Pelodiscus sinensis: one gene and its partner. The protein of the gene in region 2 purifies or fractionates together with the protein of the main gene of each other region. This does not show direct contact. Links are inferred from orthologs where the notes say so. Each region holds a gene or a part of one and is shown on either strand. Other genes may lie near its edges.

What was found. The genes of interacting proteins can lie anywhere in the genome.
Region 1: the proteins of inward rectifier potassium channel 4 (region 2) and DLG4 purify together in Homo sapiens (affinity purification with western blotting, with the first as the bait; 3 studies listed by BioGRID). This does not show direct contact. The link is inferred for Pelodiscus sinensis from reciprocal best matches to the Homo sapiens genes KCNJ4 and DLG4.

Annotation. Positions count from the first base shown.
Region 1 is NC_134734.1:9,523,824-9,530,836, forward strand, and holds the start of DLG4 (disks large homolog 4), read right to left. Parts: upstream 3,013-7,013; 5' UTR 2,881-3,012; coding exon 2,764-2,880; intron 1-2,763. UniProt on the Homo sapiens protein: Postsynaptic scaffolding protein that plays a critical role in synaptogenesis and synaptic plasticity by providing a platform for the postsynaptic clustering of crucial synaptic proteins.
Region 2 is NC_134711.1:91,788,329-91,796,120, reverse strand, and holds the start of inward rectifier potassium channel 4, read right to left. Parts: upstream 3,090-7,792; 5' UTR 2,699-3,089; intron 1-2,698. UniProt on the Homo sapiens protein: Inward rectifier potassium channels are characterized by a greater tendency to allow potassium to flow into the cell rather than out of it.

The DNA.
Region 1 (7,013 bases), on a different chromosome or scaffold from region 2:
TGACTCTGCTCCCCAGACTACCACTCAAGGCAAAGGGCATCCGAGAGAAACTGCCAACACATCACTCTGATCCTGAACTGTTCTGATGCAACTGGGCCAAGAGATGGATCCAGCTACCATCACCACCTCCACCGGCTCTGGTTGACTCCCGAAAAACTGGGTCTGTGAAACTTTTTTGCCCTCCTCCCAGCTCGTGTGTCCCTTTCCTTTCCCACCTTATTTCTTCTTTTTCCTCCTCCTCTCCTTTTGCCATCTGTCTAATCAGAGTCTGGCTCAACGGGCCAAGAATGTACACTTGGCAATTCTGTTCTAAGCTGCCACTGGCAGCATGGTCCTAACCAGCCCAACCCTTGCACAAGCTTGACAGGGTTTCAGAGTGACCAGCTGGGCCTGTAACATAAGAATGGACAGTCTCAGTCAGATCAAAGGTCCATCTAGCCCAGTGGTGTGTAACCTTTTTTCATTTGCAACCCCCGCGCTGCAGGGGCCGCCAACAGCCAGGCCCAGCTCCCAGCCAGCCAGATCAAAGTGCTGCGCCATGTGGCTGCCAACAGCCGGGCCCAGCCCCCGGCCAGCCGAATCAAAGCGCTGAGATCCCCCAGGAAGACAGCTGCGACCCCCTTGGAGGTCACAACCCACAGGTTGTGCACCACTGATCTAGCCAAGTATTCTGTCTTCCAACTGTGGCCAATGCCAGATGAGTCAGAGGGAATGAACAGAACAAGGAATCACCGATGTTCCCTCTTATTTTTTTCATCCATGTGTAGAATACCTTTTGTTATGTGCTCCCAAGATATGTGCGGATGTGCACGACCAGTAGAAACACATGCTGCCAGTTGTGGGCACTTTGCTGATTAATAGGACAACATTTGAATCTCTCCTGGGTGGCCATCCAAGTGCTCATCTTACAGAGAACGCTAGTAATCACCCAATGATCCCAATCCTGTCGCCCATTTCCACTTTCTGGCAAACAGAGACTAGGAACATCATCTCTGCTTGTCTTGATAAATAGCCATTGATGGACCTATATCCATGAATGTATCTAGTTCTTTTTTTAACCCTTTTATAGCCTTGGTCTTCACAGCATCCTCTGGCAAGGAGTTCTATAGGTTGACTGTGCTGTGTGAAGAAATGCTGCCTTTTGTTTGTTTAATTCCGGCTACAAGCAAGAAACATTTTCTCTCTTTGCTGACTTTCCCCCCACCCTCCTGTGTGTCTTTGTCTTGTTTTGATCTCACAGGAAATGAGATTGGACTGTAACAGCAGCAGCAACAGTGCCAGCCCAGCTCTATCTTCTGCACTTCCCTCCAAAAGGGCAGTTATTACCATCTTTAATCCCAGCTAAAAGACAGTCGGACAAGAGATTTGTCCGGCTAAAGGGACAGGGAACATGGGATGTCGGTAAAATTAAAACCTTACTTAATGCTCCACATTGCCAGTTTTTCAACTGCTTTCTGAGATCATGAATAAAGGGCATTTGCCTTGAGAATACATAGTCTGGGGTCTCCAGGCCCCCCCTAAACCTTCTTTGCAACTGCGTGGTGGACAGTTTTGGGGTCATGTTAACACCTTTGACTCTTCAGGGCTATTGAGTTCATCCATATTCCCAGTTCACGGTCCCTTGGGTCAGGCACCACACAAAGTAAGTAACAGTTTAACCACACAAAGGACTGGAGGGGAAAACTGTCAAAGCGCACGCAGCAGGTCAGGACAGAACCAGGAATTGGACTTAAAGGTCCTGACCCTCCCCTCCCCAGACTCCCTTCCCTCCCAAAGCCAGGAAGTCTTGGCTCCGAGCCCCCCTGCTCTAACCACTAGACCTCATAATATCCCCAATGCACATGCTACCGATGAGCTGCTCCCCTTCCTTCACACTCTTCCATCTTTGATCTGCTGCCAGATCAGTTGGAGAAGGGGACAGCCTGTAGAAGGAGAAGGGGGGGCTGCAGGTCTGGCATGAGGGGCACAGGCAGAGCTGGGGGGCTCTGATTGGGGATGGTGAGTAGTTTCCCCGCCCCCCACGGCTGAGCTGCCCTCTGTCGTTCTCCACCCAGCTTCACTGGTCTCAGCAGATTAATTCCCCTAATCCCCAGTGTGCGGGCCTCCAGGACAGCCTAAGGACAGCTGAGACTGAACAGGGCTTGGAAACTGCCCTGCCCCCTAAGCCAGCCCCCCAGAAGCCTCCAACCACCACAGACCCCAACCCTGCCCCACTGAGTCCTCCAGCCCCCAGAGACTCCTAACCCAGCCCTACAGACCTTTCTAGCCCCCAAGCCAGTTCCCTCTCCTGCATAACGACTTGTCCCTAACTCAGCCCCACAAAACCTCCAAAACCAGCCCCACAGACCCCTCCAGACCCACCCTGCTCTCCGAGCCCTATAGCCCCCTTCCTCTGTCCCACAGGTCCTGCAGCCCCGCTCCCATCCCAGCACCAGACCCACCTCAGCCGGTACCAGAGACCCAGCCAGACTCGCTGCCCAGCTGGTACCAGAACCGAGCCCAGGACATGCCAGGCCCTTGCCCAATCAGTACTGGATCCGTCTGTGCCAAGCGGACCAACGCCAGACCCCTGGGCTGCACCGGGCCACGCCAGAACCAGACCCCGAACCCACCGGATCAGAATGGCGGTGTCAGCACATCTCCCCGGGGCCATGTGTCACCTCACATTGCCCCCACCGCTCTCCCATCAGCTCACCCCCAGCTACGAATCCCCCCGCACCCTCCCCCTCCCCGACACTGGGTCTAACCGCCCCCCCGCGGTACCTTGCACCCGAACATCAGGGACAGGGTCCGGTTGCTGCAAATCACTTTGCACTGGCACATGACGGGGGGGAAGCAGCCCAGCTTCCTGAAGGGGGGGGACACGCCGTTCAGCCCCATGGCTCTCCCCAGCGCCCCCTATCGCCCCCTCCCCCCCACGCCCGTGCGGGGGGTGGGCCCCCCCCGCATCCCTCCTCCGGCCACCGGCCTCGAACCCTCCTGCCAGCCGGGACGCCGCGTCCTTGGAGTGATCTTCGCCCCCTCCGTCCGGCCGTCCGGCTGCCCCCTCCTTCCTCCGTCTCTCCCCTCCCCTCCTGCTCCATCCCTCCTCCTTCCTCCTCCTCCTCCCGCCCCTCCTTCAGCTCCATCGCTCCCCCTCCCGCTGCTTTCTCTCCCCTTGCCTCCAACTCCTCCCCCTGCTGCTCCATCCCTCCCCTTGCTTCCTCCTGCCTCCTCTCCTTTCCTCCCCATTTCACTTCTCCCCTCACTTCTTTCCTCTGTAGTGGGCAGCGGCTCCCACCTGGCCCCAGGGCAGGGACTGGCTGGGGCAGGAGGGCAGGGAATGAGGCATAGAGCCTTTCCCCTCTAGGGGGCACCGGCTCCCATCCATATGGACTCCAGGGTAAGGGGCAATTTTAAGGGGAATCCCAAATATTTAGGTGCCAGGAAGGCTCCAGATGCCCACACGCTAACTCGGGCCCAGGTATACACACCTGCACACACAAAGCCCAACACAATATACCGCCACCCTGAGATACTCCCACACACAACACATGCACAGACCCCTCCCAACACATCCCTCCTTCCGCGGAGTAGGGCACACAACACCTCCAAGAAGCAGGCTCCTGGAGTTGCATCTAAGGATGCCTGCTCCATCTGATGCTATGCCCCCACAGTTGAGAACCGATGGGTGCTGATCATGGCACCATACTATGCCCCAAAGTGTGGGGTCCTCTCCCAGTTCTCTCCGGCCATAGAATTAGCTGTACATGGCAATGGTGAGTTAATTCCCTGATTACAGAAGGAAATTGCCAGCTGTCACCGTCTATGTGGACACTCTTTGGAAATTCTTCTGCTTTGGAAGTGAATTGCACTAATCCGAATTAATGGGAATGTTGTCCACACAGGCATGTCTTAATTCAGATTAAATGCAAGCCTTTTAAAAACCAGCAACCTTTGAGTCCATCATCACCATTCCCTAGAACCTGAGCCAAAGAAACTATTCCACCAACAGAGACCACCTAATGCAGGGCTACTCAACTTTGGAGGGCCACAATTTAAGTGTGGTTACATATACATGCAAATTTATATGCAAATATATGCAAATATCTTATTTCACACTGATGAGCATGAATACAAAGATTAAGGCAAAATTACACAACATGCAGTCCCCATTTAAGTCAGTTCTGCTGTATTAATCAAATGCAATAGTTACCCAATTTCCATCCATATGACAACATTTTTAATGAGCAATGACAGTCTAGGAATTTAACTACTGAACGCATATCAACTGACGACCGTTATTATTGACTTGCCATTATGGAGCATGTTCCCAATGGAGGCCATGTTCAAAGGATTCCACCCATGGGCACGTGTTGAGTAGTCCTGACCTAATGCATGATGGAGCCACTTCAGGGAAACAAAACTACACCTTGGTTTAGGGCTGCTCACCACTTCTCCTTCCCCCCTACTAAATTCACCAGTCTAATCCACAATTACGTCTGTTTGGTCCCTTAAAGAGGGGGGTAGCCAAAAGAATCTATTTTGTTAACTGGCTATATCAATTAATTCATTAAATTAATGAAAAATTAATCCAGATTAGTAAAAGGTGGGAAAGAAATCCAGATTACTGGAAATAAGTATTTATTCCAAATGAACGGACATTAGACATTTACTCTGGATTCATGGAAGGTGGGAATTTAATTCAAATTATGAGCAGGTGGGAATTGAATCCATATGAATGGAAAGGTGGAAGTAAATCCAGATTAATAGAGAGTGGGAGATGACTCCAGATTAACTGATTGTGGGGCCTTAATCTGGATTATTAAATGATGATAAATGAGATCTAATTATCAGTGGGTGGGAATTGAATCCATATGAACAGAAAGTGGATACTGAATCGTTCAGAATGTCATAACTGAATGCAGATTAAAGGAAGAGTGGAATTTAATCCAGATTAATGGAAAGTGTGGAGTGAATCTGGATCAACAGCAACTGGGGAATTAACCCATATTAACAAAAAATGAGAAAATAATATGGATTATCAGAAGGTTTGAATTTAATCTGGACTAAAACCTGCCCATATGGACAACATTTCCATTATTTGGATTAGTACAATTCACTTCCAAAGCAGAAGAATTTCCAAGTAGTGTCCACATACACAGTGACGACAGGCAATTTCCTCCTGTAATCAGCGAGTTAACACAACATTGCCACGTACAGCTCCTAGCGCAACTGAGCCCTGGTGTGTGAAATTTCCAAAGCTACCATGCCAGAATCAAGAAATCATAATCCTGCAATGGGGGAAGTGGTCTATATGGCCTATCTTGACTTTAGTAAGGCTTTTGATACCATCTTACATGACTGTCTCATAAACAAATGAGGAAAATACAAGCTAATAGAAAGTGGATGAAGAACTGTTTGCAAAACTGATCCCTGAGAGAAGTTATCAATGGGTCATGGTCACACTGGAAAGGCATAACAAGTGGGGTTCTACAGGGAGCAGTTCTGAGTCCAGTTCTGTTCAGTAACTTAATCCATGATTTAAATAATGGCACAGAGAAGACAAAAACTTTGTGGATAATTCCATCTGGGAGGGGTTGCAAGGATTAAAACTCAAAATGATCTGGATTCTGGACAAACTAGAGAAATTGTCCCAGGTAACTAGGATGAAATTCAGTAAAGGCAAATGCAAAGTGTTCCACTTAGGAACAATCAGTTGCACACATACAGAATGGGAAATGATTGATTTGGAAGGAGCACTGTGGAAAGGGATCTTGGGGCCATAATGAACCATAAGCTAAATATGTCAACAGTATGACCGTGTTGCTTTAAAAGAGAGAGAGAGAGAGAGAGAGAGAGAGAGAGCAAACATGATTCTGGGATGCACTAACAGGAGTGTTGTGAGCAAGACTAGAGTTGCCAGGTGTCCAGTTTTCAACCAGACAGTCCAGTATTTGAGCTCTCTGTTTGGAAACAAATTGAGAACATAGAAATGAGAAAATATAAATGTCCGGTATTTTCTAAATAAGATGTAATGTAGATTGTGATGTAATGACAAGTGTGTCCGGTATTTCTGTTGAAACCATCTGGCAACCCTAAGCAAGACACGAGAAGTCATTTTTCCGCACTACTCTGCACTGATTAGGCCTCAGTTGGAGTATTGTGTCCAGTTCTGGGCACCACATTTCAGGAATGATGTGGAGAAATTGGAGAAACACTGGAGAAGAACAAAAATGATGAAAGATCAACAAAACATAACCTATGAACAGTGTTCCCTCTAAGCTGTGCAGCAGCCCAGTTTAACAGGTGATTAATCAACCCTGCCTAGTCAGAGGCCCAGGGCTCAGTGCATGGAGCTGACTGAGTCACCTGAAGGGAACACTGACTATGAGGGAAGATGAACAAATTTGGATTTGATTAGTCTGGAGAAGAGAAGATAGAGAGAGGACATGATAACAGTTTTCAAGTCCATAAAAGGTTGTTACAAGAAGGAGGGAGAAAAATTGTTCTCAACATCTGATGATAGGACAAGGAGCAATGGGCTTAAATTGCAGCAAGGGAGGTTTAGGTTGGATGTTAAGAAAAACTTCCTGTCAGATTGGTTAAGCACTGGAATAAATTGCCACCAGAGGTTGCGAAATCTCCATCATTGGTGGTTTTTAAGAGCAGGTTAGACACACACCTGTCAGGGATGGCCTAGATTGTGCTTGGTCCTACCATAAATGCAGGAGACTGGACCAGATCAGTGTTTCTCAACCAGTGGTACAAATACCCTTAGGGGTACTCGAGAGAAGCCTGGGGGGTACGTCAACACAATTGAAACTTGGAGAAAACTGAATTTTTCTTTTTAAGTTTTACAGTGCTTTATTATTTCTGTATGTTTTACACCCAGAAATTTCATCGCCCGCCTGGCTACGGTTAAGTTGTTTAAACAAATGTGTTGCAACAGTAGAAAAAAATTGTGTGTGTCTGAAAACTGTAGGTAATGGGGGTATTTTTTTAAAGGGGTACTTTATAAAAGGTTGAGAAAC
Region 2 (7,792 bases):
AAGCCACGGGGATGATACATGTACACAAAGAGGACACAAGTTGGGTGTCACACCTGCTGGGTCTGGTCTCTTTCAGCTGTTGGCCCTTCCTCACCTGACCATATGGAACACCAGTTTTGACATCCATAGAATCCTAGAGCTGTAGGGCTGGAAAGGGGTGAAGAGGTCATTGGGGCCAGCCTCCTGCATTGAGACAACTAGAATATCCCTGACAGGTGTTTGTCCAGACTGGTGTGAAAACACCTCCAGTGACAGGGACTTCATCATAGATTGCCACCTTCCTCTCATAGCCTGCTGCCCGTTTGAGAGGGTGATAGCATAATCCACTTTTAATCATGTGAACAAAAATTGCTCAATGGGATTTCAAGAGAAAATCCCAAAGGTAAATTCATATACCCAGTCCCATCTGCTTTACACCTTAGAAAATAGCAGGTAAAGAGGAAAGCTATTCTCTTTCCAACCTCCCAGCAAGGCCAGGGCACTTCATCGGGGGCCCATCCATTTTAGCGCCCATGTTAGCACTGCTCCCTATGGATTGGAAGGGGGTGGCTTTCTTTGTCACATGTCACCCATTCAAATACATTTCGGACCAAATCCTGCTCTCTGTGCACACTGAAGTCAATATCATCTCATTGACGTCAGTGAGGCTGCTCAGCTAAATAAATCCAGTGGGACTGGGCTCCATCAGGATAGAGAGGCACAGTTTTTGTGCTGCTATATCTGACTGTTCAGTCAATACAACCCTAGTGTGGATGCAGCTGCACCAGTATAAAAGTGTCTTGCTTTGGTAAATGGCCAGGAATGAGCTATACCAATGTAAGCACCTTTACACCATGATAATTGTACCCATGCTGGGTGGAGGGTGTTGCAATGATCTAATTACATCAGTTTCTCCGTAGATACTGCAGCACAAAAACAGTGCATAGACCAGCCCTTAGATAGACGTCTCTTCTACTAGCCATTTGGGTCATTCATCACCAATGCTTCCTGAATATGCTAAAATAGAATCCTCTAACTGGGACATCAAGCCATGGCTGTCACCTCCTACTTCCGCCAAGTGATGTGGGGAATGGATGGACAGAACCCTGCATGGATACAAAATTTGTATCTGCATCTATATCCGTAAAAAAATGAGTTGTGGCTATCCACAGATTTGCAGGGATGGAGTCTGGTAATCATAGAATCCTAGGGCTGGAAGAGCCCTCAGGAGGTCATCAAGTCCAGCGCCCTGCCCAAGGCAGGACCAATCCCAACTAAATCAACCCAGCCAGGGCTTTGTCAAGCTGAGACTTAAACACCTCTAGGGATGGAGATTCCACCACCTCCCTAGGTAACCCATTCCAGTGCTTCACCACCCTCCTAGGGAAATAGTTTTTCCTAATATCCAACCTAGACCTCCCCCACTGTAACTTGAGACCATTGCTCCTTGCTCTGCCATCCGTCACTACTATGAACAGCCTCTCTCCATCCTCTTTGGAACCTCCCTTCAGGAAGTTGAAGGCTGCTATCAAATCCCCCCTCACTCTTCTCTTCTGCAGACTAAATAAGCCCAAACCCCTCAGTCTCTCCTCGTAGGTCATGTGCTCCAACCCCCTAATCATTTTGGTTGCCCTCCACTGGACCCTCTCCAATGTGTATAATGGAATATGGTAATGGACTCTGGTCCCTAGCAGAAGGACCTCCTCTGGAATTTGCCCACTGCGGAGAATGTGTTGTCCAATATAAACAGGAGGGACCCCCAGGGCAGGAGGTGGCAGCAGGAGTTCACATGAAACATGTCTGGTCCACCCACACTTGCTGACAAAACACACTGTAGTGATGGGTGCACACAAAGAGAGACAGAGATTAGATTGGGCAGAGACTTTCCCCGGTATTTTGTTCGCTGCTTCCTCAGCTTCAAAGAAACTCAAGAGTTTGAAGCTGCTTTAAACACTGCTTTCTGGGGCTTCATTTCTGCCAATCAGATCAGCAACACAGACAATCAGTGACCTAGAAGAGGCTGGACAGAGGACTGTGGGAATATCGATTATCAATTCGGACAATCTTCACAGAGAGCGAACCAGCATGTTTGTTTCAACCCTGATGTGCCCGAGTCTTTGAGCACATGCCCAAGGAATCCAGCACCTCAACATCTTCAGGCTGTATTAGGGAAATGGGTTAGAAAGGCACACAAGACGTGAAGGGTGCCAGCAATTGGGGGGCAAGAGATGTAGGGAAAACAATCCCCTTGTAAACGGGAGCAGCCAACAAATTATTTGTGGCTAACAATAAAAAGTCAAATAAACATAACCAAAGTTGACATTCCAGGTCAAAAAAAGGAGGGAAAGTTAAGGAGCTTTAACTATATATCTGTATATATACATATACTTGCACATGTGTTTGCATGTGTATATATGTATATCTTTAAATACATATACTTTTTATATATATATATATATATACACACACACACACACACACACACACATTTACACTTTATTTTATATATACACTCTCACAGTTTTTATATATATACATATTTACATATGCACATACCCACACGCACATATATGCAGCCATATATACATGTATATATACACACATAGTTATATGTATTATATATATTTTCATAGATAATTCTTATGTAATTATGCATAATCATCATAACAAACATCCAAGAAAAATTATAATGAGGCTAATAACCATAATAATTTCTTACCCAGGTTCTGTGTTATTCCCTGTTTGAGTCCTGGAAAGCCAAAAGTCAGGGGACGGGAAAAGAGGGAGATTTCTCCATCCCACCATGAAACCTGAGCCTGGATTTAAGAAATCCAGGGGTCTCTCTCCTTTTAGTCTTGCTTTCTGTCTCTTCTCCTGTCTGTTTTTCAAGTAGCTACTTTTTCCTCCTAAGAATTCCCTCTGCCGTGCTCTAACTTTCCTTCATCTCTATTGCCTTCCCTTTCCTGCACTTTGTATCTCCCTCTTTCTTTTTAGCATTTTTTGCTTTGAGGAATTTCCATCCTTCATGAGCTTTATTTCTCTGCAGCTGAGCAATGACTTATTGGACCGATTTCTCCCTTCTGTCTGTTTATCTCCCTCTTTCTCTTTTTTTGTCTGGTTGTCTCTTTCCCCGCCTCTCCACCTCATCCCGCCCCCCCCCCCCCCCTCAGTTTGTCTCTATTTTACCATCCCTCTATCGCCTTTTTCTCCACTCTCCTTCCTCCCTCTCACTTTCTCTCGCTCTCTCTCCGATTGCTGTGCAGTCGGTAGCTAAGAAGTCAGTAACTCTCTGGTAGAATCCAACAGCTTTCTGCTACTTTAGCCCATCCTCACATGTGATCTCAGAGCCTTGGATACACCCTGCAGAGGCAGAGATGGGGAGAGCTGAAAGTGCAACCCAAAGCAATGGAAACGGGAATGGGAACACATGCAGCTGGCGCTCAGATGCCCCAGGCATGTTTGCATGGAGCACAGTGGCCTGCAGAGGCTTGCCACATATTCTGTACCAGAAAGCATAGAAATCCAGGTCCTTTTTTTCCTTCTTCCCAGATGCGGCACCGAGCATCCACTCCAGGGATCTGATCTCCCTCTAATTCACCCGCTAGCGCACTCTTCCAGAACTTTCTCCAACGGTGCCGTGTGTCATCGCTGTTTTTGCTTGTCACTGGATTTGAAGCAGTTCCCAGGACTGGGTGATTCTACTATAGATTTACAAAGAGGATCTTTCCAGGGTCCTTCCCTGTGGGCCTTCTGAGGTTCCCTGTGGCATTATTTCAGAGCCTGCTGTGCTCTTCATGTTCCTCACCTGCTGAAAGATTCAGCCAGGAAAACACGCTCTGGGTCTCACCTCTCAGCAGTGACTGACTATTGTTCACAGGGCTGCTCCTCTAGCAGGAACAGGGGCTTCTTTGTCAGAGGAAAGCACAGGGGGTGCAATTAGAACAAGGTACAGGTAACAGGGCTCTCCCTTCAGCTATTCCTTAGGTGCCTGACCTTTGGGTTTCAGGACCAATCATTGGGCAATTATGGGTTCAATGGATTTCCTCATCCACAGGTTTCTAGACCCTTTCAGAACATGGCTCACATCCTAATCATCAAACATGGCCTTGAGGCCACCTCTCCTCCCATGCGTGATACCACCTCTCCTCCCACTGGCAATCAAACACCATCCCCGTGGCAGCCACAGCAAACATTTCCATGGCACAGCAATATAGGGAAAGATGTGTTTTTAGCTTCTTTCTGTGCAGTTTCACAACTGCCAAGGAGAAGAGCCAGCATCCTGCAACCAGCTTGCTCTTGGCAGACCACCCGCAAGGGCTCCCCAGAGCACAGTTTGCTTAGCCCTGGCATGGGAGACCTCCAGGGCAGGTCAAGTGATCCAGGAGCTGGCATCTGTGAGTCGGGAGGCGTGCTCTTCCCTCTGAGTCAGTACTGAATTCGTACCAGCAGAGAGCTGAGAGCCCTCTAATGAGACATTATTGGCTATGTCTGCACTGCAGAGTTTTTTTGGAAAAACAGACATTTTTCTGAAAAAAAACTTCACTTACATCCACACTGCAGTTGCGTTCTTTCGAAAAAAATCAAAAGAACAGAGGGGTTTTTCTGACATTGGTAAACCTCTTTCTACAAGGAAGAAGCCTTTTTGTGAAAGAGCTCTTTTGGAAAAAGGTGTCTGTGGACGGGGAAGAGGGAATTCTTTCAGAAGAAGAGGAAAGAGCAAAAAGCACAGATGCCCTGGTGGCCATTCCGCCCATAGCAATCACAGCTTACATGTGAGAGAGTGTCCATTCAGTCTGGACGCTCTGTTTCAAAAAAGCAGATGGCTTTTTCGATGCACTTTTGCAGTGTGGACGGTCTCTTTCAGAAGAAGTTTTTTTGGAAGATCTCTTCCAGAAAAGCTACTTCTGAAAGAAGCCTGTAGTCTAGACATAGCCATACTGTTAAACCATTATTTGTAGCCATAAATGCCCCATAACTCTTTCCCTAAGAGCTATAGGTGCTGTCATACAGAAACGCAGGGTATGTCTACACTACATGGCTCCATCGACGGAGCCACGTAGAAGAGCTTTGTAGACATAGAAAAATGAAGCGGCTATTTAAATAATCGCCGCTTCATTTACATCAAAATGGCTGCCGCGTTGTGCCGATCAGCTATTTGTCGGCACAGCGTGGTAGTCTGGACGCTCCGCAGTCAACATCAAAAGCCTTTGTCGACCGCCCCGGTAAACCTCATCCCACGAGGCATAATGGGGCGGTCGACAAAGGTTTTTGATATTGACTGTGGAGCGTCCAGACTACCGTGCTGTGCCGATAAACAGCTGATGGGCACAGCGCGGCAGCCATTTTGATGTAAATGAAGTGGCGATTATTTAAATCGCCACTTCATTTTGCTATGTCTACAAAGCTCTTCTACGTGGTTCCGTCGACGGAGCCATGTAGTGTAGACATACCCTGAGCCACTCGCACTGGACAGGGAAAGATGGAAGGAAATAGTGAGGGAGGCATCGGACACCAATGGGCATTGAGCCCCTGCTAGTTGTTGATGATGATAGTCCAACTCCTGTTTGGGTATTTGAACTCTTGCTGCCTAATAGCCCCTCTGTAGCTTCAGTCATAGATGGTTGTTTCCTGACTTCTGAAAAGTGTGTTGTGGTGCACTGTCAAGGCAGCTCTGCTTCAGGGGTTCCAGCATAGGTGATAAAGTACTTTGGGAACCTTCAGCGCTAAAGGCACTGAACACATGAATTATTTCGATGATCAGACCCTGTCTTCACTCATAACTCTACATATGCTACTTTCACAGCCAGGAATGCTGGATGGGTGTGAACTGGAACAAGATTCAGGAGCTCTTGGCTCTGCCACAAATTCCCTGTGTCACCTCAGGCAAGTCACTTCACCTCGCTGTGTCTCAATATCCCATTTCTAATATGAGGACAATTCTTCCCAGACTCTCGGGAGGGGGTAAGAGGATAAAACCTTTAGCACTCATCAGGTGCTCAGCTCCTACAGTGATGGGGGCCTGACAAAAAATTCCAATAGACTGAGAAAGCAATATTCTTATTTTTAAGGGGGGAAAAGATGAGTTCTCTGTGACACGTTGTTCTCCCCTTCCCTGGGCACGACTCCCCCCAAAATGCTGTCATTGCCAATCTGACCTCGGCCACAGTGAGGAACAGTGAGTAAAGAAAGGACAAGACATGAAGCACCAACTCTTCCCCCTCATCTCCCAAACAAGCAGCTGATTGTGCCTCCTCTACAGATATAGCATGGCAGGACTGGTGGACCATTGCCAGCAGGGGCTGTTGTGTGTGTGTGTGTGTTTCCTATAGCAAACTTCACTGACCCACAATGGAGACCATCTTCATATAAATACACCTGTTTCTCTCTCACCCTCTTCAGCCAGGGTCAGCTGTACCCCGCATTGCCAGCTGCAAACTGCTGGGTGAGGGAGTAGATGGCTAACTCTCTCCATCCCCGCCGCTCTCCCCTAGCCACTTTCTTTAATAAGCAGCATAGAATATTTTAGCACCTATGGAAAAACCACCACAGACGGTGGTGGCAGCCGTTGCTAGGGAGATGCTCCCAAAAATAGCCCCACTCCGCCAACCTTTCCTGCTGCTGCTGTGGGGATGGGGGAAGTGAAGTGAAGGGAGGGAGAAAAGGAGGGAGGACTCAGCTCCCTGGAATGTGAGTTAACATAAGGCCTGGGCCAAACTGAAGTTAACAGCCGCACTTGCCCAAGTGGCCTCTGATTTTGGGTGCTGTGATCAGGCTCCTCTGTGGCCATGTCAGCCTCTGGCAGAGGTATGTGGTTGGAGTATATTTCTCCTCCCTATAGAGGAACAGCCCTCCACCTTTTCTCCCTGCTACTCCATCCCTCTTGTCACTTGTGGGGTTTTTTCTCCATCTGCTCCCTCTAGCACCAGAAGAGGGTTTATTAAAGGTGGCCCTGAACTGGAGTCAGGTGTCTCTAATTAACCTGAAGTAACCTCTTTTCAATTCACAGGGGGAAGGGCCGTGACCATTGTAGGACAGATACACCTGCGTTCACTTACAACTGGCCTGAGTTTGTCACATCTTGACCCCTACCCCTGTGCTCTGGCTCAATATTATGGGCTGCATGGACCAGGAAACAGCATACTTCTGGCAGGCTATCAGCATTGCTCTGCCTGATTCCTGTCCTGCCGCACCTTGATGTGGGAGGTTGTCACAACAGACCCATTTTGTTTCTCTTCCATTTTTTAAATTTGTTCTAGCGCCTGCACTTCAGGGCAGAATGGTCTGTAATGAGGGTAAATATCTATCCGAGCAGGTAGTTCCACAGAATTTCCATGACCCACTTTATCCTAAGATAGCCTTCTCCAACATGCCATACTTTTGTTCTCAGGGAAAGCGTTTTCTACTAATGTACACTCTATCTGAGTCTCTAGCCTTTTTGAGATTGATCAGAGAGCATGCCCTGGTGGCAAAGTGGTGAATGAATGACCTGCAATAAGTATCCTATTATCCCCAGAAACGTTCTCACCTCTTTCTTCCTGAATGGTCAAGGCCAACTTTGTATTGCCTCTAACTTGTTCAGTTTCACTATACCTCTCCCCAAGATCGTATTTGGTTTCCACTACCAATATTGCATATTTAGATGGGTTAGTGGTGAAACCGGGGCTACCTCTAGATTGTGTGTCTTTTTTCTGTTTAATTTTAAAAGAGGCTTTTTCGAAATTTGGCACATTTACATGGAGCCAAATTTAGAAAAAAAGTGTTCTTTTGAGCCATCCCTTATTCCTTGTAGAATGAGGTTTACAAGGATGGCGAA